Linked DNA regions of Struthio camelus. The main gene of each other region encodes a partner of the protein of the gene in region 3 in a complex. Links are inferred from orthologs where the notes say so. Each region holds a gene or a part of one and is shown on either strand. Other genes may lie near its edges.

Region 1 (7,846 bases), on a different chromosome or scaffold from region 3:
TTCAGTTATGCTTTCTTCAGGTTCCATATACTCCCAGCCAGCCTGCTGCCTAGCATCTGTTTTTCCTCGTCCTATCTGGCTAAGTGGGAGAAGAAGGGCATGTGGCTTGTTGCTGGGCCCTTTTGGCCATCCTTCTGCTGCAGAGCAGATGGATTTCACTGCCAAGTTGTTTGTGATGCAGCTGTAGCAAGCAGAGTCTTTCAGGGCTTCATGTAAACGTGTTTCTCTGTGGTTTATTGATAGCCAGGAACACAACTGATGGTAATACAAGCTGTCTTTGAACCCTTGTTCTGCCATTTCTTCCACTGCTTTCACGCATTTCCATTGATGCTTCATTCAGACCAATTTTAATATTTCCATTACAACTCCACACTCTCAGCCCAGTGTCCTATCTGGGCAGACCCAGCTTGGGGCTGCTATGGAAAAATGGGCTAATGGTTCCCCCTTCTCAGAGGGTGGGAAAAGACCAAGGAGAGGCCTGTTTCTGTGCAGAGCCCTTGGGACTCACTGCAGGTGTTAACGTGCAGGTGGATCAACACAGTTTTGTGCTTAAAATGATCAAGCAGCTATATTTATCTGACTCTGGGCTTGTGTGTCTGGTAGGGCAATGGTGAATTTTCTAGCCCTGCTCCCTAGGGTGTACAATGGCAGTTGTGGCACCAGGACAGATAGGAGCAACTGTAGTGGCTACTCAGCTGCCTCAGCTCTCAAGAGGCAACCGGGATCCAGCCAGCTCTTATCCCTCTCTCCTTACACAGGCTGCTGTTGACTTCATCAGCCAAGGAGGGCACCGGGCCCTTGAGCAGCATCAGAGCACCCCAGAACTCCAGGAGCGGGTGCGAGCACTGCTGGACATGGCCTTGCAGCCGGCGGGAGACTCTGCTGTCAGTACCACACATGCTGCATTGCCTGCTCTCTCCTAGGTGATGCTGTCTCCCTTCCCTCCACCTGCCCTTGCGCTACAAGGAGGAATAAATCGTTCAGTGTGCTCTGCTTTCACATACCACTGACCTAGGGATGGTTAAAGGTCTAACATCCAGCTGTAAGCCCCAGTGCAAGGCTGTTGGTCCTGGATGGGGATTCTTGGCAAAGTACGATTGTTCTTCTCTGCTCCCCAAGGTCTTTACAGTCACCTAGTCAGAATTAAATTTGGCCTAGTCAGAACTAAGTCTGCCCCATGCCTCACTGTGTGTGGCCAGGGCAGAGCTGTGCTACGGCCAGTGCAGAAAGGCTCTCATTTCTGGGAAGGTGGTATATAAACCCTTCTGGATTTGCTGGTTTATAATCCAGCAAATATAAACCAACTGGAGTGTCTCCTTTTGTCACAGCTTTAAGCGCAACACACAAAGCTCAGGGTGAGCACGTACATTTATGTGATTAATAACTTAAGGATAGACATGTTTCACATTAAAGCTCATCAGTAAAGTCTTCGGTGCGCACAGGTTCACTCTGTCTTCAGACCTTGCTTTTTACAACGTTCTCTAAAGCCTTGGCTACTTCATCCATGCTCAGGTTATTCAATGGCACGCTTCTCTCCTTGCCGAACTCTGTAGGAGAGACGGAAAGTGAGAGAGGGAGCAGATGCCTTGTTCCTTTTCTACTGAAAGGGCAAGGTAAAGTCCTGATTTAGTTTTCCTAGGGCTTCAGCCAGGGTCACTAGAGCCACAGGTGTGGCTACCCCCACCCTCCTTTATCACCCAGCCCTCTCCAGGATGCCTTGCCATGCCCAAGTTACCGGTTCCACCTTCCCTTTACCCTGTGACTCAGCCTTTCCCTTAGAAAAGCCAAGACAGCATGCCATGCTTGCTTGCCTCTTCTTGTTAACTCTTAATGCAGCTGAACAGAGACTGTGGTGATGTCCCCAAAGCAGCCTGGTGGCTTTCAAGCCCCACGCATCCAGATCCTCACAAACACTTCAGTAAAACACTACTGAAGGACTTGCTTCTACAGCAGCTCCTGCCTTGCAGTGTGTCTTCCTGCAACTCACAACAAGACAGAAGAGACACACTGTACTTGAAGGCTTTGTTGGTCCTTCTACTCACACTGGGAAATTCATGTTTCAAGAGTCATTGTGTCTCTTAGAAACTTTCTTTCAAAGTGATTTTTGTCTGTCCCAGATGCCTTTGAGAAGAAACCAAAGCCTCCTCTCTAGGAGCTTTTCTGCTCCTTCATTAGTTTCACTGAGGATACAGTGAAACTCGAAAGAAAAAGCAGAAAACTTTTTTCTTTTTTTTGCATAGGCATCTTATGGGTGTGGGAGATAACGGGCACAAGCTGGCAAATACCTCCCAGGGAGTGTGCGTTTTGTGCCTCCCACCAGGTTACACAGCCGTAACACACCAAGGAGGTAATGAAAACAACTTTATCGCAGTAGTTTAACTGATAAGCAAGAATTATCATTAATTGGCAAGATTTTGAATTTCAAGTACATTAATGGTGGGGTTATCTGTGTTCCTGCATTCTCCTCTTCTAAAGAAATGGGGCCCCAGCCACATCTTGTCTCACAGAGACTTGCTCCCTCAGAGAGGATTTGCATTGCTTTAATTACCAAACTCCCTGATTTCCTGTAGACCACAGCACTGTGGTACCACGTTTTTTTTCTAGATTTTGTCAGAAGGTATTTCACTGCAGGTACCTCCCCGCTTACCGTATCGAGCCCACAGTTTGGGCTGCACCTCAGAGCATTCGCGAATTAGGATGGGAAAATCCGGGTTTGCCTTCTTCAGGGTCACGTAGTGCTGCTCAATGAAGTCTCTGGGAAGAGAGGAGGGTCAGATTCCCAGGGCACGAAGAGCACGGCCAAGCCCCCTCCCGAGAGGCGGTTCGGCAGCACGTCTGGGACCCGGGGAGCCTCGGGGCCCGATGCTGGCTCCGGCAGGCTAGCGGGAGGGGCGCTCTTGTACCGCCGGGGTACCCCAGTGCCCCGAGGGCGCCGAACTGCCGTGGCAGCGGACCCACGTCTGCCGGCCGCCAGGGACGGGGGCCTCCCGCAGCTGTGACACGGGGCTCAGTCCCAGCTCTACTCCGGCACACAGTGCTGAGCACCGTCCCGGCCCGCCTCCCGGTGCAGTGCCGAGCACCCCCCCCCCCCCGTGTACAGCGCCGAGCACCGCCCCCCCCCCCCCCCGTGTACAGCGCCGAGCACCGCCCCCCCCGTGTACAGCGCCGAGCACCGTCCCTCCCCCGTGTACAGCGCCGAGCACCGCCCCCCCCACCCCGTGTACAGCGCCGAGCACCGCCCCCCCCCCCGTGTACAGCGCCGAGCACCGCCCCCCCGTGTACAGCGCCGAGCACCGCCCCCCCCGTGTACAGCGCCGAGCACCGCCCCCCCCGTGTACAGCGCCGAGCACCGCCCCCCCCCTCCGTGTACAGTGCCGAGCACCGCCCCCCCCCGTGTACAGCGCCGAGCACCGCCCCCCCTCCGTGTACAGCGCCGAGCACCGCCCCCCCTCCGTGTACAGCGCCGAGCACCGTCCCCCCCCCGCCGTGTACAGCGCCGAGCACCGCCCCCGTGTACAGCGCCGAGCACCGCCCCCCCCGTGTACAGCGCCGAGCACCGCCCCCCCCCCGTGTACAGCGCCGAGCACCGCCCCCGCCCCCCCCCGTGTACAGCGCCGAGCACCGCCCCCCCCGTGTACAGCGCCGAGCACCGCCCCCCCCCGTGTACAGCGCCGAGCACCGCCCCCGCCCGTGTACAGCGCCGAGCACCGCCCCCCCCGTGTACAGCGCCGAGCACCGCCCCCCCGTGTACAGCGCCGAGCACCGCCCCCCCCGTGTACAGCGCCGAGCACCGCCCCCCCCCGTGTACAGCGCCGAGCACCGCCCCCCCCCGTGTACAGCGCCGAGCACCGCCCCCCCCCCCGTGTACAGCGCCGAGCACCGCCCCCCCGTGTACAGCGCCGAGCACCGCCCCCCCCCGTGTACAGCGCCGAGCACCGCCCCCCCCCCCGTGTACAGCGCCGAGCACCGCCCCCCCCGTGTACAGCGCCGAGCACCGCCCCCCCCCGTGTACAGCGCCGAGCACCGCCCCCCCCCCCGTGTACAGCGCCGAGCACCGCCCCCCCGTGTACAGCGCCGAGCACCGCCCCCCCCGTGTACAGCGCCGAGCACCGCCCCCCCGTGTACAGCGCCGAGCACCGCCCCCCCCCCCCGTGTACAGCGCCGAGCACCGCCCCCCCCGTGTACAGCGCCGAGCACCGCCCCCCCCCGTGTACAGCGCCGAGCACCGCCCCCCCGTGTACAGCGCCGAGCACCGCCCCCCCCGTGTACAGCGCCGAGCACCGCCCCCCCGTGTACAGCGCCGAGCACCGCCCCCCCCCGTGTACAGCGCCGAGCACCGCCCCCCCGTGTACAGCGCCGAGCACCGCCCCCGCCGTGTACAGCGCCGAGCACCGCCCCCGCCCCCCCCGTGCACAGCGCCGAGCACCGCCCCCCCGTGTACAGCGCCGAGCACCGCCCCCCCGTGTACAGCGCCGAGCACCGCCCCCGCCCCCCCCGTGCACAGCGCCGAGCACCGCCCCCCCCGTGTACAGCGCCGAGCACCGCCCCCCCCGTGTACAGCGCCGAGCACCGTCCCCCCCCCCGCCCGTGTACAGCGCCGCCCCGCAGCCAGCCCGCACCTCACGCCGCGGCTGCCCGGGGAGCGCTGGCACAGGTGGATGCGGAGCTCCCGCAAGCTGCGGCCCAGGCCGCCCCCGATGCCCCTCACAACCGCCGCTGCCATCTTCCTTCTAGGCCTCCCCTAGCTACGGCTGGGGGCGGGGCTTCGGCGGCCGCCAATCACAGCGGCCCTGGTCCCGAGGCTGGCCAATGCGGGGGGGGGGGGGCGCGGGCGGAAGGGCTGGCCGCGGGGGGTGCTGGGAGGGCGGAGCGGCGCTTCCGGTGCGGGGCTGTTGCGCGGAGCGGGCCGAGATGCCGGAGCGGGACAGTGAGTGGGCCGGGGGGCGCTCCCGGGGGCCTGCAGGGGCGACACCCTGGGCGGGGAGCGCGGGAGTCGCCCGGGTGTCGGGACCCGCCGGTGCCAGGGCGTCGGGAGGCCCCTCGGGCGGGGGGGGGGTGCGGGGCCTTCCCGGGGGCACGGAGTCAGCCGGGGTAGCGGTTCCTGGCGGTGATACCGGGCCCCGCGCTCCCCTGCCAGCCCGTCCCGGGCCGGGGCCGGTGCGCGGCCGGAGGCGAGCGGAGTGGCCGCTGCCCCTGTCCTGCCTGCGGGCCGGGCCCGGGCTGGGGGGGGGGGGGGCAGCAGGGGGGTGAGGCAGGCTCTGAGCGCTCTCTCTCCTCCCGTCCCCCAGGCGAGCCGTTCTCCAACCCCCTGGCCCCCGATGGCCACGATGTGGACGACGCACACTCCTTCCACCAGTGAGCACAGCGCCCGGCCGGCGGGGCGGGATCGAGCCAGGCCTGCTGGCCTCAGGGTTACGATGCCCATCCTCATGTCAGGAGGCTGAGAGGGACCGACGCAGCCTCCAGGTTCCCTCCGCGGCTGCCCTGTGTTCGATCCTGTCACACAGGATGCCCTGGCGATCCCTCGGTCTCTGCGGTACCCACCCCTCAGGCTGATCTTTCTTTGGGAGATGATTGTTATTTTTACCGTGTCTTCTCTGCAGATCCAAGTTGACCAATGAAGACTTCCGAAAGCTTCTCATGACCCCGCGGGCTGCGCCAACATCTGCGCCACCCTCCAAATCTCGCCACCATGAGTGAGTAGAATGCATTTCACACAGCTGTGGGACCAAGCATGGCCTCTCTCCCTTCAAGACTGTTTCTGTTTGACTCTCTCTGCTTGCGCTCTACAGTGGCTAACTTGAGTGTGCAGGCAGGGCCAAGGAGCAGACTTTGCCCTTGCTTTGTGCTCAGGTCCAAATTGTGTATGTGTTATTGGAGTTGGTTGGATAAATAAGTTGGTCAGAACTCTTGGGAATGACAGAGTGGATTTTGCATGTTTTTAAACAACTACGTAAAGGGTCCCGAGAGGCAGCTTTGGTTTGTCGTTCTGTGAAACCCTTTGAGTATCTCAGTGCCTTGTAGTTCCTGAGTTACTGTTCTGTCTAGCTGCCTTCGATGATGTGAGTCTGTGCAGCTTATGATGTGTGTGGTTTCTCACCCTTCTCCAGGATGCCCCGGGAGTACAACGAAGATGAAGATCCAGCCGCTCGCAGAAGGAAGAAGAAAAGGTAAATGGGGAAAATGATGCATCGAGAGACATCGGCCCATGTCATCTCCTTCCCATGGAAGCAATTCTTCAGCAGCTTGGGCTACCAAAGAGGACCCTAAATGGGCGGGACTAGTTTGAGACTTTGGAGCAAGAGCAAAGGAGCCAAGTAGAGTGAGAAGGGTTTGGACTGAGTGACTGCCACTGCTTGTGGGAATGGATGTGGAAGGGTAGCAGCAGGGTGGGGGCGAAGCTTCTCTGCCAGAAGAAGTGGGAGAGCGCTCTGCAAGTGACTGGCAGATCTGGACAGTGCTGGGGTATCTGTACTAGTGAGCATTTCCCCTGGTGCACACCTGTGCAGCAGAACTGTGCTCGAGGCCCTTCCCTTTAGAAGGGGCTAGGCTCCTCTCCAGTGAACCTGTAGAACAGTTTCATCTTGACTAGTGTTTTCAAAGCGTGCTGTGTCCCTTGGTGCTTTAGCCCATGTTTGGGGATGGAGTAGGGAGCAGAAAAGGCATGTGCTGGGGCCTTCGGGGGCTGTGTTAGCTGACCGGGCGTTATAAGTGTAACCCTGTAGCTCTAACACTGAGCTGTTTCTCCAACCCCAGCTATTATGCAAAGCTGCGCCAGCAGGAGATAGAGCGTGAGAGGGAGCTGGCTGAGAAGTATAGGGATCGAGCCAAGGAGAGGAGAGATGGAGTCAACAAGGACTACGAGGAAACAGAGCTGATCAGCACGACTGCGAACTACAGAGCTGTGGGGCCCACTGCAGAGGCGTACGTGAGCCTATGGCCAGGCCTTGTGTTGCCAGTCTACTCCAGAGTGACTCTCTCATAATTGGCTCTATTTTTGTTGCACAGGGATAAGTCAGCTGCAGAGAAGAGGAGACAGTTGATCCAGGAGTCCAAGTTCTTGGGTGGTGACATGGAGCACACTCACTTGGTGAAGGGTCTGGATTTTGCGCTGCTGCAGAAGGTGAGCACAGATAGCACCATGTTGCTCTGAGCAGCGCTTGGCTTGCCAGAGTTCCACTCGTATTCCTCTGTTCTCTCCTCTTCTCTACTGGCGCAGAGGGTGGGGAGAAGGTAGTATTCACTGTTTATAGACACTTCAGTCTAGCGTTGTCAGTGTGTTCTTGGAATAGCTTGCTCTTTTTGGGAGAGGTTTAAGAGGGGTTGGGGATCTGGTGGAGGAACTCTTGCTGGCTCAGATGAGCAGCTGTATCATGGATTGGTCTGTAATGCATGGATTTGCTTTGTGGCCAGGTACGGGCTGAGATTGCCAGCAAAGAGAAGGAAGAGGAGGAAATGATGGAGAAGCCCCAAAAGGAAACCAAGTAAGTGTTTCAGGGCGCTCTGCTCCTGCGTGCAGAGGCCTCCCGGAGAGGAGGAAGAGGAGGCATGCAAACACTTACTGTAATGCTTCTCTTTCTTCTTAGGAAAGATGAAGATCCTGAAAACAAAATTGAATTCAAGACTCGGTTGGGTAAGATTATGTGCATGTGACTGCTCACCACCTTACATGGGTTGTGCCAGGAAGGGTGGGAGGAGTCTCGAAGGGTGGATGGAGGAATGAAAGTTTTAACCTGTTGGACAGGAGGGTCTGGCAAGCAGGAATATCTTTGTCGTGTAGAAATTCTGATTTTTTTAGGGCTGGAGGAAGTGTCTCTCCTAGCGGGTAGTTATGAGATCTCTGATC
Region 2 (7,366 bases), on a different chromosome or scaffold from region 3:
CCCCCGCCTCTGCACCTCCTCACCTTCCCTGTGATGCCAAACAGCGTCAGGTACTCAAACAGCAGCTTCATGTCCCCCAACCCCTCCTTGGCTAGTTGATTCTGGGATAGCTTTGGGTCCTGGAGGAGCTGCTCAATCAGCTCCAGGCCACCTGTGGGAACAAGCCATGCTTGAGGTCTGCCAGGAGCCAGCAACAGAGCTGCACTGGCAACCGTGGGCCCAGTCGGTCGCGGGTGCTGCTTTGCACCCTCTGCCCCTGCCCAGGGTGCGCTGGCCCCTGCCTGCCTGGCCTGCAAGAGGGTGGCAGTGCTTGTAGGGACAATGACCGAGCAGGCTGGAGGGGGGGGCTTTCAGCCGAGAGGGAGAAGGGATCCCCCCTGCAAAGCGCTCACCGTGGAGCTGGACATATTCCCCAATGCGATTCGCAGCCTCAGGAGAGAGCCCCTTTTCTCCCAGCATCTCGCTCCTCACATCCTCCCACGACATCTGTGAGGGGAGACAAGAGCATCAGTCACTGCAGAATGCCCTCATCCGTGGTCTCCACCAGCCCATGGATTCAGAACGTGTGTGGGAGGAGAGCAGATGCTTCACAGCAAGCATTCTCACTAATGATCTGTGCCTATGTCACAGGAATCCTTAAGGGAAATCACTGACAATGCCAGGCTTTATTCTTGGCCACTGCTACTAGCCCAAGAGTTCTCAGAGTCCCTTACAAACACTACTGAATTAACTGCTGTGATACTTCTTTCTGATGGGAATAGCAAAACCACTGCCCAGGCTGAACATCCCGAAACTGGAAGTGACCTGCCCAAAGAGCAAAATGCACATTTTGCAACTTCAGGGCTACTTCCAAGCATTTGTTACTATCCCATAAAGCACTGGACACAGGTAGGAGAACCCCCAGAACTCCCTTACCTTGTCCAGTTTGTCCACGGTAGAGCATGTGGTTATGAACTTGCTCTCTGGGACACCACAAATGGCAAACACACCGTTCAAAATGCGTCGGTCATTGACCTGGGAGGAGGAAGAGGCATTCTCAGCCCAGGGGAGATCATCCCACTGCAATTTCTCCTTGCCCCTGCCCAAGAGGTGCTGGAAGCTACAGCTGTTGGAGTCTCCTTGTACCTTTTCACTGGTCTCTCAAACCCACAGCACACTGGAGCGGGGGATGGGAGGGAAGGCTCCACTCGGCTCTCATCTCACCTTAATGAGAAAGTCCCCAAGCTGCAACTCACTCAGGATCTCATGCACTATTTTCAGGCATTCTGCATCAGGAATCATAGGATCGAACTGGCCAGCAATGTCAAAATCCTGGGGACAGGAAAAGGTAGAGAAATTCCTGGCATAGCTGGGCTGCTCCTGAAATCCAGCCCATCCTCCTATGTAGCATCCCCTTCTACTTCAGCAGGAGCCCAGCTTCAGGACTGCTGTGCAGGGCCTCTACTCCAGAGGCAGAGCTCAATGGGGCACAAAGCATCGTATAAGCACACAGCAGCTGAAAGTAACCACCCCTCTCACCACTCTCCAGCTCTCTCCTCCCACGTTCCTGAGAGGAACCAGCCCAGCTCCCCTCGCACAGCAGCTACAACACTCACGCACTGGTAGAATTCCCTGTAGCGGCCCCTGGTTGTGGCCGGGTTGTCCCTCCTGTACACCTTAGCGATGTGGTAGCGCTTAATGTTGGTGATTTTGTTCATTGCCAAATAGCGAGCGAAGGGCACCTGAGACCAAAGGGTTAAGGACAGAACCCAGAGATTCCCTGAGCCGGACAACCGAATCCCAAAGCCACCCCTGTCCTCCTGTCACTTCGCAGGCTGCTCCCAGACCAGGCAACAGCTCTCTAAAACACAGACTGGGCTGATGCTGTGTATGATGAACTACGCTTAGCTCTTTTAATGCAGGAACAATTTCATTTCCTTTTCATTAACTGCAGTATGTCAACACCTTGCAAACACAGACCTTCGCTGGGTCATTTTGCTTTCTTAAGGTCTGATACAGAAACAATTCAATACATAGTGCAGGAGATATTGGAGAAAAGAGCTTTTAGGGGAGACAAGTGGTGATAGAGAAGGCCCAGGATGGATGCTTCTTTCATATCTGCAGCAATCACTTTTGCTCTCAAAACAACCACCAATGCTCTGCAGAGGTATGGGAAAGGTGGCAGGGGAGGACAGGAGCCCACACAGGTGGGGACCATGTCTAGGAAGAGGTAAAACCAATATTGTGGGGGATACTGGTACATACCCACAGACCGCAGGAGAAAGAGCAGATTTGTTGCAGATATTGGACTGACTGGGAGGCAGTTAGAGGTGGGAGTCACAGAGTCAGACCAGCTTGGGATCTCAACTGGTCAGAGTGAAGGAGTCAAGAGTTTCGGTCATCCATACAGAAGGAAGCTGGGATTCGTAGATCGGTCAGGGTAACGTTACATGGGGAAGGAGGACTCATGCTAACGCCTTTAACCTAGGCAGAGACCACAGCCTGTCACTGTACCCTCCACAAGGGCTGCACGCTCCCCACGTGCTCAGGGCTGTGGCAGGATACAGTCAGGTCATAGCGAAGGGCCAGCAGCTCTCCTCCCTGATCCTGCAGCTCATAGATGAGCTTTGAGTTGTCTCCATACTTCCCCATCAACGTTTCCTAGGGAGAAGCAAGGCAGTCATTAGGGGAGGCACAGAGCAGCAACAGCTGAAGCTCAGAGCCCCCAGGATGGAGAACAGGCACTAAAGCCCAAACCCCTGAGCAGGTTGGCTGGCTTGAACTCCAGCCCCAACCTTGCTGTGAGGAGTCCCTTGGTGGGGAAGAGGGGGGAACACACAAAGTTTTTCAGCACTAAAACCATCGCTGGGCCCTGCAGGGAAGAACTGCATGACTCGTGCCACCATCCGGGGGTCCCTCAGTACCCCCAGGCCCACAAACAAACAGGGGCAAGGCACAGGGAAGCTCCGCAGAAGCAGCACGGGATGGAAGGGTTCTCCAGCTCTCCCACAGCCCCATGGATCAAGCGCTGCAGCCCCACAAGCAGAGCAGCATGTGTTTGGGGCAGGGCACATATTCCCCCCCCCAACCCCTTGCCCTAGGGTGTTTCCACAGTCCCCTCCTTCCCCCACCGCATTGGCCCCAACACCCTCCCTGCCCTATGTCCCTGCTCCCCATGCCAAGAGGGGGCACAGCTCTCCCTCCCCCCTCCCCAAGCGAGGCGGGGGGGGGGGCGCCCCTTCCCCCCTCCCCAAGCGAGGCGGGGGGGGGCGCCCCTTCCCCCCTCCCCAAGCGAGGCGGGGGGGGGCGCCCCTTCCCCCCTCCCCAAGCGAGGCGGGGGGGGCGCCCCTTCCCCCCTCCCCAAGCGAGGCGGGGGGGGGGCGCCCCTTCCCCCCTCCCCAAGCGAGGCGGGGGGGGGGCGCCCCTTCCCCCCTCCCCAAGCGAGGCGGGGGGCGCGCCCCTTCCCCCCTCCCCAAGCGAGGCGGGGGGGGGGCGCCCCTTCCCCCCTCCCCAAGCGAGGCGGGGGGCGCGCCCCTTCCCCCCTCCCCAAGCGAGGCGGGGGGGGGGCGCGCCCCTTCCCCCCTCCCCAAGCGAGGCGGGGGGGGCGCCCCTTCCCCCCTCCCCCGGCCCCAAGCGAGGCGGGGGGCCCACAGCCCTGCGGGGTCCTGCCGGCCCCGGCGCCCCCTCACCCGGAGCTCCAGCGCGGGCGTGTCGATGGCGGCCGCCCCGTGCCGCTTGAAGCAGGCCACGACGGTGGCGAAGAGCCGGTCGCGCAGCGCCATGTGCGCGGGGAGGTGGTCGCGGGTGCCCTGGTCCGGGGGCAGAGCGGCCCTCAGCGCCGGGGCGCCACCGCCGCTAGCTCCCGCCCTCCGTCCCCAGCCCCCCCCCCCCGGTGCCCCCGCTTCCTCGCCCCACCGTCACCTTGGGCGTCTTCAGAGCCGGGCCCCGCCTGCCGCCGGCCGAGCCCGCCGCCGCCGCCCGCACCTGCCGGGACAAGAGCCCGCGGTCAGCGAGCGGCCCCGGTGGACGGGGCGGCCGGGCCGGGCCGGCTCTCAGCTGGCCCCCGGCGGGGCGCAGCCGCCCGGCCGCGGCCAGCGGGCGCAGCCGCAGCATGGCCGGTCGCGGCGAGCCCGGCTCGCGGCGGCGCGCGCCGCTCTCAGCGCAGGGCGCGCGCCCCCCCCGGGCCGACACGCGGGGCCGCTCCCGGCATCACAGAGTTCCGGTGCACCAGAGCAGGCGATGGGACAGCTAGAGCGTCCCGCGGCTCTTGGCAACCATAGAGACGCGGCGCTCTGGCCGGAGAGCCAACCACAGACGCTGAGGCTAGACCTGTCGTGACGTCGTGACGTGACCGGCCCCGCGCCGCTTCCGCGTGGCACTCTAGGCCTAAGCGGCGGGCTCTCCTTGGTACTTGGGCGGACTGCCTCGCTTTACGACCCAGGCGGACAGAGCGCGACAGTTTCCGTTCGCCGATCGCCTGCATCCTCAACATGGCGTCGGGCAGCGGGGTAGGTGGCGGCGAGGCAGCGGTGATCCGTTCCCCTTTCTCTCTGTGGGCTCCGGGCCCCGTCGGGGACTGGGCCGCGCCGGCTGGGGCCGTTCTTGGAGTGCAGGGCGGCGGCGGAGGCGGGGAAGGGGCGCCCGGCGCAGGCGGGCCGTGCTCGGGGCCTGCTGGCAGGCCGCGGGGTGAGCGTCCCCCCGGGGCCGAGGCCTGCGGGAGGCCCCGTCCCCGACTGTCCCCCTCGCCGAGCCCCCGGCTGCGAGCTGAGAAGCCTCGATCCCTTCGTGGCTGAAAGGGGGAGATGGAAGCCACCTCAGCCCCCTTAGGGCCAGGGAGCCATTTTTTCTGCTAGGCTTCGTGAAGAGAGTTGCACCTGTCCCAACCCGGGTGTGGAGAAACCCCCCCCCCCCCTTCGCTCTCCTGGGGAAGACTGGCCCATCGCAGAGGCTCTCCCGGGCTCGGAGATGAGGTGTGGAGGGAGCTCCCTCTGTCCATTCCCCCTCTCGTCCTGCCCAGCTCCTTTTCAGTTTCTTTGGGGAATGGTTGCCAGTGTCCCAACTGGCCAAAATTGCTACCTGTTGCTGACTACCCTGCATAGGGAAACCTTCCTTCCTGTGATTGTGGTCCTCAAGTCTCTGATGGCTCCTGCTTAACTTGATTGTTTTATTGGCATTGCTTGATCTGTGTATTGTGGCAGTGAGGTCTTTCTGCCTGTACGGAGCCTGCAGGATTTGGTGTTGGGCCTGTTGAGATCAGATGAGTGAAGTAGATGCTATTTGTATAACCAAACTGGAGAGCCAGATTGTCGTAAATAGCTCCAGTAATACCCAAGACAGCTGTCAGCACTACAGCACCAGAGGCTGTGTCTTTCTGCTTTCTTTGCAAATGTTTTTGTCACTTGAAGGCACTCGCTGAGAAGCGAGCAATGCTGAGAGAGGGCAAGAAACAGGATGTCTTCTGGGGAAAGAGTTGGAGCCTGTGTTTTATTTTTAGCCGCTGGTGGTTGTGTTCCTCCTGCTTAGCGCCAGTCTTGAGACTACTGAATTCTTGTATAGGCTTTGAAACTGAAAAGATCATTCACTGCCTACATCTGCAGCAAACAGGAGGCTTTGGAGCACTTTTCTTTTTTTAATTGTTGTTACTTGTTTGGGAAATAGTGTATGTCACCCTGAGCAGTTGTTAGATTTGGGGGCTTGCAGCCACTCTTGCTTCCACTGGACCAATTAAGGAAAGTTCCTTTGGATAAGCTTAGATCTTGTCAGAGATAGCTCGCAGTTGGATTCGATTTGTTTCATTGTGTCTGGCTTAGGGAGACTGGGAAAAGATGTATGAAAGATTATTTTCCTTTTATTATAACAGGAGGGTGAAGCAGCAAGTAAATTTCCTCCTCCCTGGGCTTCAGCCAGCTTTGATTTGTGATAATATGCCAGTATGCAGGAGAATCCAGAAAACACCCTGAAACGTTAATTTGCACTCTATGATAATTCCTTTTTCCTTTGCTCAGGGTAGCTAATAAAACCTGTTATGATACACTTAAAGTGCTTAAGAAGCTCTGGGAATAAATGAGAATTTTTCTACACTTCTCTAAGGCATTTTTGTTCTTATCAGTAGTTGTTCGTTCCATTTGAAGGACTGCCAGAGGAGAAAACCTTAAATGATTGTGCTGCTGCTGTAGCTTCAAATGGGATTTATTTTCTTTGGATTGTGATTGGATTCTTGATTTGACTAAACTGGAGAAGGTGGTGGGTGTATGTGGGTCCTTCCCCCACCCCCAAGGTGGCTTAAAATACAGCCATCCTCATTCTCAATATGAAATTGAGAACCTGTTGCTGCCTCTGCCATGCCAAGTGAAATGCAACTTTCTAATTATCTGAGAATTACCCTCTTCAGAAAGTAAAGAAGTGTCTGAGCTGTAAGCCCTGACTCTTACCAGGTGCTGGGGCTTTTCTTTGTGGCCTTTGTGCCTATGATAGGCAGACATCAAGAAGAGAATCTGACAGTTTAGTGAATAAATAAATGTGGGTGGAAGAGGGGTTCCTCTCAGGTCCACGTTGCCCTCGGTGTTGGTGGCTAGATAAAAATCCACATATGACGGGTGGTGACAGAGGTATCTGCAGAAAGAATAGTCTTTCTATATCTTCATTGCCAGCTTCACCTGAACTCTGCCTCTGTTCCTGCAATATATCCTGTCATTCCCAGTTTCAGGTGCTTTGGGAAGCTAGTTAAGGGCCAGTCTGTCTTGGAGATGTTTCTCCTTTTCCCTGCTTGTCTGAAATTTGGAATGGGGGAGTTATGGGCATGGGACAGTTTACTGTGAGTTGGGTACAATTGTCTTCCTGCTGTCTCTGCATCCTGATTTGAAAAATGGGGTTTTCAGGGCTTTTCCTGGTTTGCTTGTATGCGTATCTCACATGAAGAATACTGCTTCCTTTGATTTAATAGCAAACTCAGTGCTTTGATTCTCATGACATGAACACATATTGCTGATGTCTTTCAGAGCAAGTGTATATATCCTTCTGGACTTGTGCATATATTTTAATCAAATTCTTTATAGCTAATATTATGTTTCATGGCCTCCTCATGTGATTTTTTTGGAGCTCAGATTTAACTGACTTTGGAAAAAGTAGGTATAATTGGCTAATGACTAGGTTGTGTTTTGTCAGGTTCCAAGCCCTTAGACCAAACAGTTGAAATCCCTGTTTGTGTCTGGTATTCAAATAGAAATCATGGATGATCATCTCAGGAGCTATTAAGATAAACTCATTACTTTGCTCAGCACTTTGAAATTCTTCTGGAAGAAACAGATATAGGCATATGGAGTATTATTCTCTTAAGCTACATCCTTAGTTTCTGGGTATGAAAACAGAGGAATTTGGAATATAATGT
Region 3 (7,733 bases):
TTGCATCCATTTTTCAAGCCAAACAATAAAATCTGAATCTTTCCTTTTCTTATGTAATGCTCTGTGAGAGCTGGCATGCTATGAGTGTTGGTTGGAAGGACCTCTGGAGGTCTCTAGACAAACTTCTCTCAGAGCAGGACTGCTGCCAGCACGAGATTGGGTTGGCTGTCGCTTTGTCTAGCCACAAAGCCAAAGTCTGGTTCTAGCATGCTCACGCATACTTGGTGCGTTGGGACCCTCTTTTCAGCAGTTTATTAAGAGCTCTGACTCACCACACAGAAAGATTTAGCTGAGGTGTCTGTCTCCTCCTGGAGTTACTAAAGAAGGCCACATGGGGCATATACCACCAACGCTCAGTCTGTTAACATGTTCCTGTGCCAGTTACACAAAAATGCTGGTCTGAGAACTGAGACAGCTGAGGAGTAAGTAGCCTGTCTGTTTGGCTTTTTCTGTTCTACAGCAGGAGTACTTTCCTGCCCTCCCTCTCTCACCAAGTGTTAGCCACTCAAGCTAAATTCACCTACAGATTTGAGTAAGATTCCTATGCGCTGCCAACGCAAAACAGCTGTCACTTTTGGATTTTATCGATTGAGGTAGCTTAGCACGGCTAAGCTAGACACCTGGCTTTGCTTCGTTGCAGCCTGGACCAGACTTGTTTTCAAACCAACTTTAAGCAGACATAAACACTCCTGTCACTGGAAACCAATATGCCTGGAATGATCAACTAATACTTCTCTACAGTAATCCCTGCACTTCTGTAATAGCAATTAAAACCAACAAGCTTGGATCACTGAAATGAAACAATAGCATGCAAAGTGTTCACTGTGTGCCTTGCGCAGTTATTTCTTCAACTTCATGCTATTGGATTACTGTCTTAAACACTCTGGGGACAGAGATGGTGAAGAACAGCTTTCATTGGCAAAGGTAGGCAATTTCTCACACTCTGTTCCATTTTCTGTGGCCCATCCAGCAAATCATACGCTAAGCCTAAAAAAACAGCAAGGAACAAGTCCATCCAAGAGAGGCTGAGCGCAGTGGATTTCGTATGCTTTTGTTCTGGCAGTCCAGCACTGATATCAGACGTTGAAATAAGCACTTACAGCTAACAGTTGGCAAGTGCCCAGGGTGGGGAAATTGGAGCAGTAAGATGCTTGGGAGACCTAGCCATCCTATGTGAGGAGCCTCCTTCCTGGGGACTGCATCTGAACCTGCGTGCGGCTAGGAGGGATATCATCAGCTTTATTCCACTCTTAGGGCTTCAACACTTTTGGTCTCAGTGGCAGTCCAAGCAGTATGGACGGACTGCCACAGTCACCCTTTGGGTGTACCAAAAGGACATTTGTCTCTGACGTCCCTCCCTCACCACTGGAGGGCTCTGCAAGTGCATTTTTTTAGTGCTGTGGCACTTCTCTGGATGGTGGCATTTTTCTGCAATTCTTACACTCTATAATTAATGCAGTCAAGATACGCTACTAATTTCCCCACTAATGAAAAACTGTTTTGTACAGTGCTAACCACAGATATATGATCACATCCTTGAAAGGCAGCGCTCTCACTGGATCGACTTAGGGCTAAGCAGAAAGATCGCTATTTTGAAGCCTGGAAACTTGCATATACAACCAAGCAGGCAGCCAAGGAGCTGTTCCACATCCAAGCCACGACTGACCAGATGACAGCAGCTCCCGTCCTAAAGAAAAAAGAAGGTAGATCTACACTCTGACATTTGTGAGTGCCACCACAAGGAGTCTTTTGAAATCCTGATGAGCAAAGGATGGTTGGTGCACCATAGCTCTGTAGAACACCAGCCAGAAAACCAGTGTTCTGTATTCAAACTATAAAACAATCAAATAAGGCTTATGCTGAAGGACCAGAGCATACTTCTAAGGCAACAGTGAAAAGCCAATTGGTGGAATAACTACGTAAGCCCCGATATTAGAGCTCTTGCCTTAAAGTTACATTTGCTTTGCTCGTTTAAATGGCCATTCTGTTTCAAATACTGCTATTTTGCTGGATACAAGCAAAACAAAACAGAACAGAACCTGTACTTCCCAGAACCGATGACCACCCTCGGGGAAATACGAGGCCCACCCTTCGTACTTTTTTCTCATGTGCTCTTCTGCACACGAAAAGCACAGGACAAAGGAGCGGCACATTTCTCCTACCGTGCCCACATCCACTGTAGCAATTCCTAGGGCTGCCCAAGCTCTTCAGGGGCCTCTTCAAAACCCATGGTCTAAGATGCTCACAGCTTGAGCCCTGCTCCTCAAATCCGGAACAAAACTGTCCAGCCAAACTGTCCCACCTCAAAGGATGCCCAGCTGCTTCTCCTCCTCACCTCGCACAGCTATGTGTCTCGGTCTGGCAGGCACTGAACAGAGCGTGACCCACCGCACACACGGCTGCTGCTCTGTCCTTCTGGTTAGGCCAACACTCTGCTCAGGTCATCAGTATTTCAGGTTCGATGAGCTGCAAGTGTTTCAGATGGCTCTGCCTTGCACTCTGTAACAGATCTTATGCCCAGTACTTATTCCAACTTACCTGACAAACTACAACAAGGACAGTGAGTAACTTCATTTTCCTGTGATGACCAAAAATAGCCAAGTTCAAAATTGTATTTCCAGCCACAAACATTACCTCTAGCTTCCGAAAAAAAAATTCCAACTTTGCTTTATTGTGGTTTTAAATCATGTTAAGTCCCTAAAGTGTCATCCTCCTCCACTACCCCTCCCCAGTCCAGAAGAGTTTGAAAACACCACTGGTTTTCCCAGTGAGATTTAACAGCGTTAAGCTACTGGGCTTACAATGCAGCCCACATTTCCCCTCTGACCGGTAACGGTGGTATAAGTACCATTTTTCTGCACGTGCTGCATTTCTCCATTGCCTTTTCTGAACCACAAGCTTGGCAAACAGAACTGGGCTGTAGTAGTTTTTAAAGAATGTTTAGACCAACAGGAGGTTGCAGGGCTTTTCCGTACGTGCTGCTTGTGGCGGAAGAGTCTCTGCTAGGCCTCCTACCCTCTACGGCTGTGGCTGGAGGCTCCTCCGCTATCTCCCGGATGGAGTTATCTGGCCTCGCTCCCGGAGAAGCAAATCCACCCGTTATCAGAGCGCACAGCTCCCTCTCTGGCCGACCTGGGCCACGGGGCAGGCGGGAAGCAGCCAGGAGGCCCCCAGCCCCACGCTAGCCTAGGCCTGTGGGTCTGACCCAGCCCAAGGCGCTGCGCTGAACACAGACCGCCCGCCGACCCCCTCCAGCAGGATCAGTTACCCCCCCACACCCTCCCAGCAGCACCCATTACCCCCCACACCCTCCCAGCAGCACCCGTTACCCCCCACACACGCCCCCGGCGACACCACTTACCCCCCCGCATCCCCCCAGTGACACCCGTTACCCCCCCACACCCTCCCGGCAGCACCTGTTACCCCCCCACACCCCTCAGCGACACCCGTTACCCCCCCCACACGCCCCCAGCGACACCAGTTACCCCCCTGCATCCCCCCAGTGACACCAGTTACCCCCCCACACCCTCCCAGCAGCACCCGTTACCCCCTCACACCCTCCCAGCAGCACCCGTTACCCCCCACACCCTCCCAGCAGCACCTGTTACCCCCCCACACTCCCCCAGCGACACCACTTACCCCCCCGCATCCCCCCAGTGACACCAGTTACCCCCTCACACCCTCCCGGCAGCACCCGTTACCCCCCCACAAACCCCCCCCGGCGACACCAGTTCCCCCCCCACATCCCCCCAGTGACACCAGTTCCCCCCCCACATCCCCCCAGTGACACCAGTTACCCCCCCACACTCCCCGCAGTGACACGTTACCCCCCCACACCCTCCCAGCAGCACCCGTTACCCCCCACACCCCTCAGCGACACCAGTTACCCCCCACATCCCCCCAGTGACACCAGTTACCCCCCCACACTCCCCCCAGTGACACGTTCCCCCCCCCACATCCCCCCAGCGACACCACTTACCCCCCCACATCCCCCCAGTGACACCCGTTACCCCCCCATACCTCCCCCAGCAGCACCAGTTACTCCCACATATCCCCTCAGCGACACCAGTTACCCCCCACATCCCCCCAGTGACACCAGTTACCCCCCCACACTCCCCCCAGTGACACGTTACCCCCCCACACCCCCCCGCGACACCAGTTCCCCCCCCCACATCCCCCCAGCGACACCACTTACCCCCCCACATCCCCCCAGTGACACCCGTTACCCCCCCATACCTCCCCCAGCAGCACCAGTTACTCCCACATATCCCCTCAGCGACACCAGTTACCCCCCCACATCCCCCCAGTGACACCAGTTACCCCCCCACATCCCCCCAGTGACACCAGTTACCCCCACATCCCCCCAACAGCACCAGTTACCCCCCCCACATCCCCCCAGCAGCACCAGTTACCCCCCCACATCCCCCCAGTGACACCAGTTACCCCCACATCCCCCCAGCAGCACCAGTTACCCCCCCACATCCCCCCAGCAGCACCAGTTACCCCCCCACAGCCCCCCAGTGACACCCCTTACCCCTCCCCCACCCCCAGCCCCTCCCTCACCCCGCCCCCGCCCTACGTCACTCCCCGCCCTGGGGGCGCGCGGACCCCCTTCCCCCCCCGCCGGCGCACGGCGGCGCCCCCGACGCGCTCCCCCCAACCGCGCGCGCTCCCTGCCACGTGACGCGGGCTGCCTCAGGGCCGCCGTCACGTGGGCGCGGGGGGGGGGGGCGGGGCGGCCGGAAGGAGCGGGGCGCGAGGCCGGAAGTCGCCGTGGTGGCGTTGGGCCTAGTAGTGGCGGCGGCGTCGGTGGCGCTTCAAGATGTCGATCGAAATCGAGTCGTCGGAGTGCGTCTGGCGGGGGCGGCCGAGGGGCCGGGCGGGTGCTGTCGGGGCGGTTCGGCCGGGCCGTTGCGGGAGCCGTTGGGGCAGGCGGGCGGCCGGTGGTGGGGGGGGAGGAGGAGCTGCGCCTGCGGGGGCTGCGGGGCCACTGTCAGCCCCGAGGCCGCTGGGGGTCGGGGGCCGGCGCTGCCTCGCGTGGGCACTGGCGAGGTGTGTGGGGGGGAGAAGGGCGCTTTGAGGCGGTGTCGTGATGGTGCGGCGCTTCCCCGCAGCGTGATCCGGCTGATCATGCAGTACCTGAAGGAGAACAGCCTCCACCGAGCGCTCGCCACCCTTCAGGAGGAGACGACCGTGTCCCTCAACACCGTGGACAGCATCGAGAGCTTCGTGGCTGATATCAACAGCGGGCACTGGGATACAGTGCTGCAGGCCATACAGTCCCTCAAGCTGCCCGACAAGACCCTCATCGACCTCTACGAGCAGGTCGGGTCGGCAGGCTGTGCACAGCCTTTCCTGCTCTGTCCACGGTAGAAGCCTTCTCTGGTGCTTCCCAACCTGCCTTTGCCGATGCAGATGTTTATCTTCTGTTTCAGGTTGTGCTGGAGTTGATTGAGCTCCGGGAGCTGGGTGCTGCCAGGTCTCTCTTGAGGCAGACAGATCCCATGATCATGCTAAAACAGACTCAGCCAGAGCGGTACATCCACCTCGAAAATCTTCTGGCCAGATCTTACTTTGATCCTCGTGAGGTATGCTGTGCCCTCCCCAGAGACCTCATGATGCTATTCTGCATCATCCCTGCCACTGGCCAAAGCTGCTAAAGGATGCTTACAGCATCATCTCATTTCCATTTCGGGTGTAAGATCCTGGAATCCACCTGAGCCTTCAGGATTAGATTATTCCAAGGAAACTTTGTAGTTTGATGGTTTTATGGGTTTTATGAAGCGTTTGCAGAATGATGTCTAATAGTTTGTCACAAGGCAAAACAGTGGTTTTGAAGGATGGTGAAGCTGGGTGGTTGGGAATTTACTTCCATATCCTGTTACAGGATGACACTGGCCTAGTCACTTGACATCTTTGCCTTGCTTTTCCTGCCTTTATATATGCCAAAGAAAGCGTGTTAGGAATAAAGCTGTTGTTGTATAACGATAGCAATAATATTAACAGCAATAGTATTGATAGTAGTAACAAAAACAAGATATTCTCTCTGACTGAAGTGTAAAGCTGACGTTTTTAGTCAAAACATGCATATCCCAAGTGTTTAAAGGGTTGGAGATAAAGAGAAGGGCTGTTTTGCATGCCGCATAGAAAATCTGAAGGGGATTCAGCTCAAAGCAATGGAACTTTCTCTGGCAAATCACTTAGAAGAATGACTTCATAAAAAGTAACTTCTTTCTAGGCATACCCAGATGGAAGTAGCAAAGAAAAACGGAGAGCTGCTATTGCACAGGCTTTAGCTGGAGAAGTCAGCGTGGTACCTCCGTCTCGTCTTATGGCGTTGTTGGGCCAGGTAATCCTGTAAAAAGAATGTTTCAGTAGCTTATTCAGTTTCTCTAGATACAGAAACTGACTTCGCTGCATAAAATTGCCCAGTTGATTCTCCAGCTCTGTAGAAATAAAGCCTGAATATTGCGGAGTTGCATATATTGTAAGTTAAAAATGATCTTTTATCATTTTAGTAAGAATTCAACAGCTGCAGAAAAACTCGGCCCTTCGGGGGCAGATTTCTTCCCATGGAACAAATGCTCCAGCTTAGAATGATTATTCTCAAAATAAATATTAACACATTCAAAAGTTATATTTAACATAGTTGGTGTTCTTATAACTGCTGATTCTCAGAACATACTCATTTATACTGTGTATAGACAGTACTTTGTATTTTGTTGGTTTGTGGTTTATGTCTTACTTCTAAAACTGACAGGTATGCTGAATAAACTCTTTTTAACTAGCTAATCTGGTCTGTGACACAAAGCAACTAATCTGCCCAAGGGGTTTTACAGGACTGTCTTTTGAACTAAGTTCATCTGTGTACTCGAAGAGAGGTTATGAGTTCTTTCTAATTTTAACGCATTCACTTCTGAGCAAATAGACAACTCGGCTGATCAGGTGATTTAAATTAAAGCAAGATCAGACCTATCACACTGCCTGGGTGCTATGTATTAAGTACCAAAGATAAAATGAGAAATGTGGGTCTGAAGTCAATCTCACTTGCAAAGAGCATTTGGGAATAACCTGTTGTTTGCAGTCATGATTTGGGAAGCATAACGTAACGTAAATCTCAGTTGTGGTTGGCTCAAATGATTATTTACCTCAAACTGTCCAGGGAACACTTTGTGGTTACAAGAAAATATTGCTGTATTGTGCTTATGGCACCAAAACTTCATTAACTGATACACAGCTGTATGGCTTTCAACTCCTCAAAAGGCACTGAAGTGGCAACAGCATCAGGGCCTGCTTCCTCCTGGTATGACAATTGACTTGTTCAGAGGCAAAGCAGCTGTGAAAGATGTGGAGGAAGAAAAGTTCCCCACACAGTTGAGCAGACATATTAAGGTGAGATTTTATTTACTTTTTATGTGTTTTACCATTTCTTGTTCCTTCCTGTTTCAGTGTTTTATGTTGGGAGTAAAAAAAAAAAAAAAAAAAAAACAAACCTTTTGCATCTTTTCTGTTGTCTTTTTTTGTAAAGAATTTCTCACTCCCCCTCGATCTCATGAGGAGACTTCTATTGAGAGTGTGAAATGATGCTTCTTAACAACATTGGAGCGCTCATGGTATTCAAGAATATGACTAACACATTAGCCATTGACTTAACAGTTCAGAATTGCTCAGTCTTTGGAAATGGTTGCTTAGACCCCTTCTTTATTTGTGAAGGAAAATACTAGCGTCTTTAA

The links.
Region 1: SMU1 (region 3) and IK share a complex: the UniProt entries of both Homo sapiens proteins name them as parts of the spliceosome B complex. The link is inferred for Struthio camelus from reciprocal best matches to the Homo sapiens genes SMU1 and IK.
Region 2: SMU1 (region 3) and ZMAT2 share a complex: the UniProt entries of both Homo sapiens proteins name them as parts of the spliceosome B complex. The link is inferred for Struthio camelus from reciprocal best matches to the Homo sapiens genes SMU1 and ZMAT2.

What each region holds. Positions count from the first base shown.
Region 1 is NC_090954.1:22,732,438-22,740,283, reverse strand, and holds the start of IK (protein Red), read left to right. Parts: upstream 1-4,826; 5' UTR 4,827-4,911; coding exon 4,912-4,927; intron 4,928-5,288; coding exon 5,289-5,355; intron 5,356-5,603; coding exon 5,604-5,696; intron 5,697-6,110; coding exon 6,111-6,170; intron 6,171-6,756; coding exon 6,757-6,924; intron 6,925-7,008; coding exon 7,009-7,123; intron 7,124-7,413; coding exon 7,414-7,484; intron 7,485-7,586; coding exon 7,587-7,633; intron 7,634-7,846. Other genes in the region: TMCO6 (transmembrane and coiled-coil domain-containing protein 6), read left to right, coding at 759-923; NDUFA2 (NADH dehydrogenase [ubiquinone] 1 alpha subcomplex subunit 2), read right to left, coding at 1,456-1,547, 2,648-2,754, 4,620-4,723. UniProt on the Homo sapiens protein: Involved in pre-mRNA splicing as a component of the spliceosome. Auxiliary spliceosomal protein that regulates selection of alternative splice sites in a small set of target pre-mRNA species. Required for normal mitotic cell cycle progression.
Region 2 is NC_090954.1:22,677,670-22,685,035, reverse strand, and holds the start of ZMAT2 (zinc finger matrin-type protein 2), read left to right. Parts: upstream 1-4,469; coding exon 4,470-4,487; intron 4,488-7,366. Other genes in the region: histidine--tRNA ligase, cytoplasmic, read right to left, coding at 24-151, 393-486, 916-1,014, 1,204-1,311, 1,596-1,721, 2,545-2,640, 3,669-3,788, 3,901-3,963 and 1 more. UniProt on the Homo sapiens protein: Involved in pre-mRNA splicing as a component of the spliceosome.
Region 3 is NC_090982.1:10,333,985-10,341,717, forward strand, and holds the start of SMU1 (WD40 repeat-containing protein SMU1), read left to right. Parts: upstream 1-4,697; 5' UTR 4,698-4,822; coding exon 4,823-4,848; intron 4,849-5,114; coding exon 5,115-5,325; intron 5,326-5,435; coding exon 5,436-5,588; intron 5,589-6,238; coding exon 6,239-6,349; intron 6,350-7,263; coding exon 7,264-7,392; intron 7,393-7,733. UniProt on the Homo sapiens protein: Involved in pre-mRNA splicing as a component of the spliceosome. Regulates alternative splicing of the HSPG2 pre-mRNA. Required for normal accumulation of IK.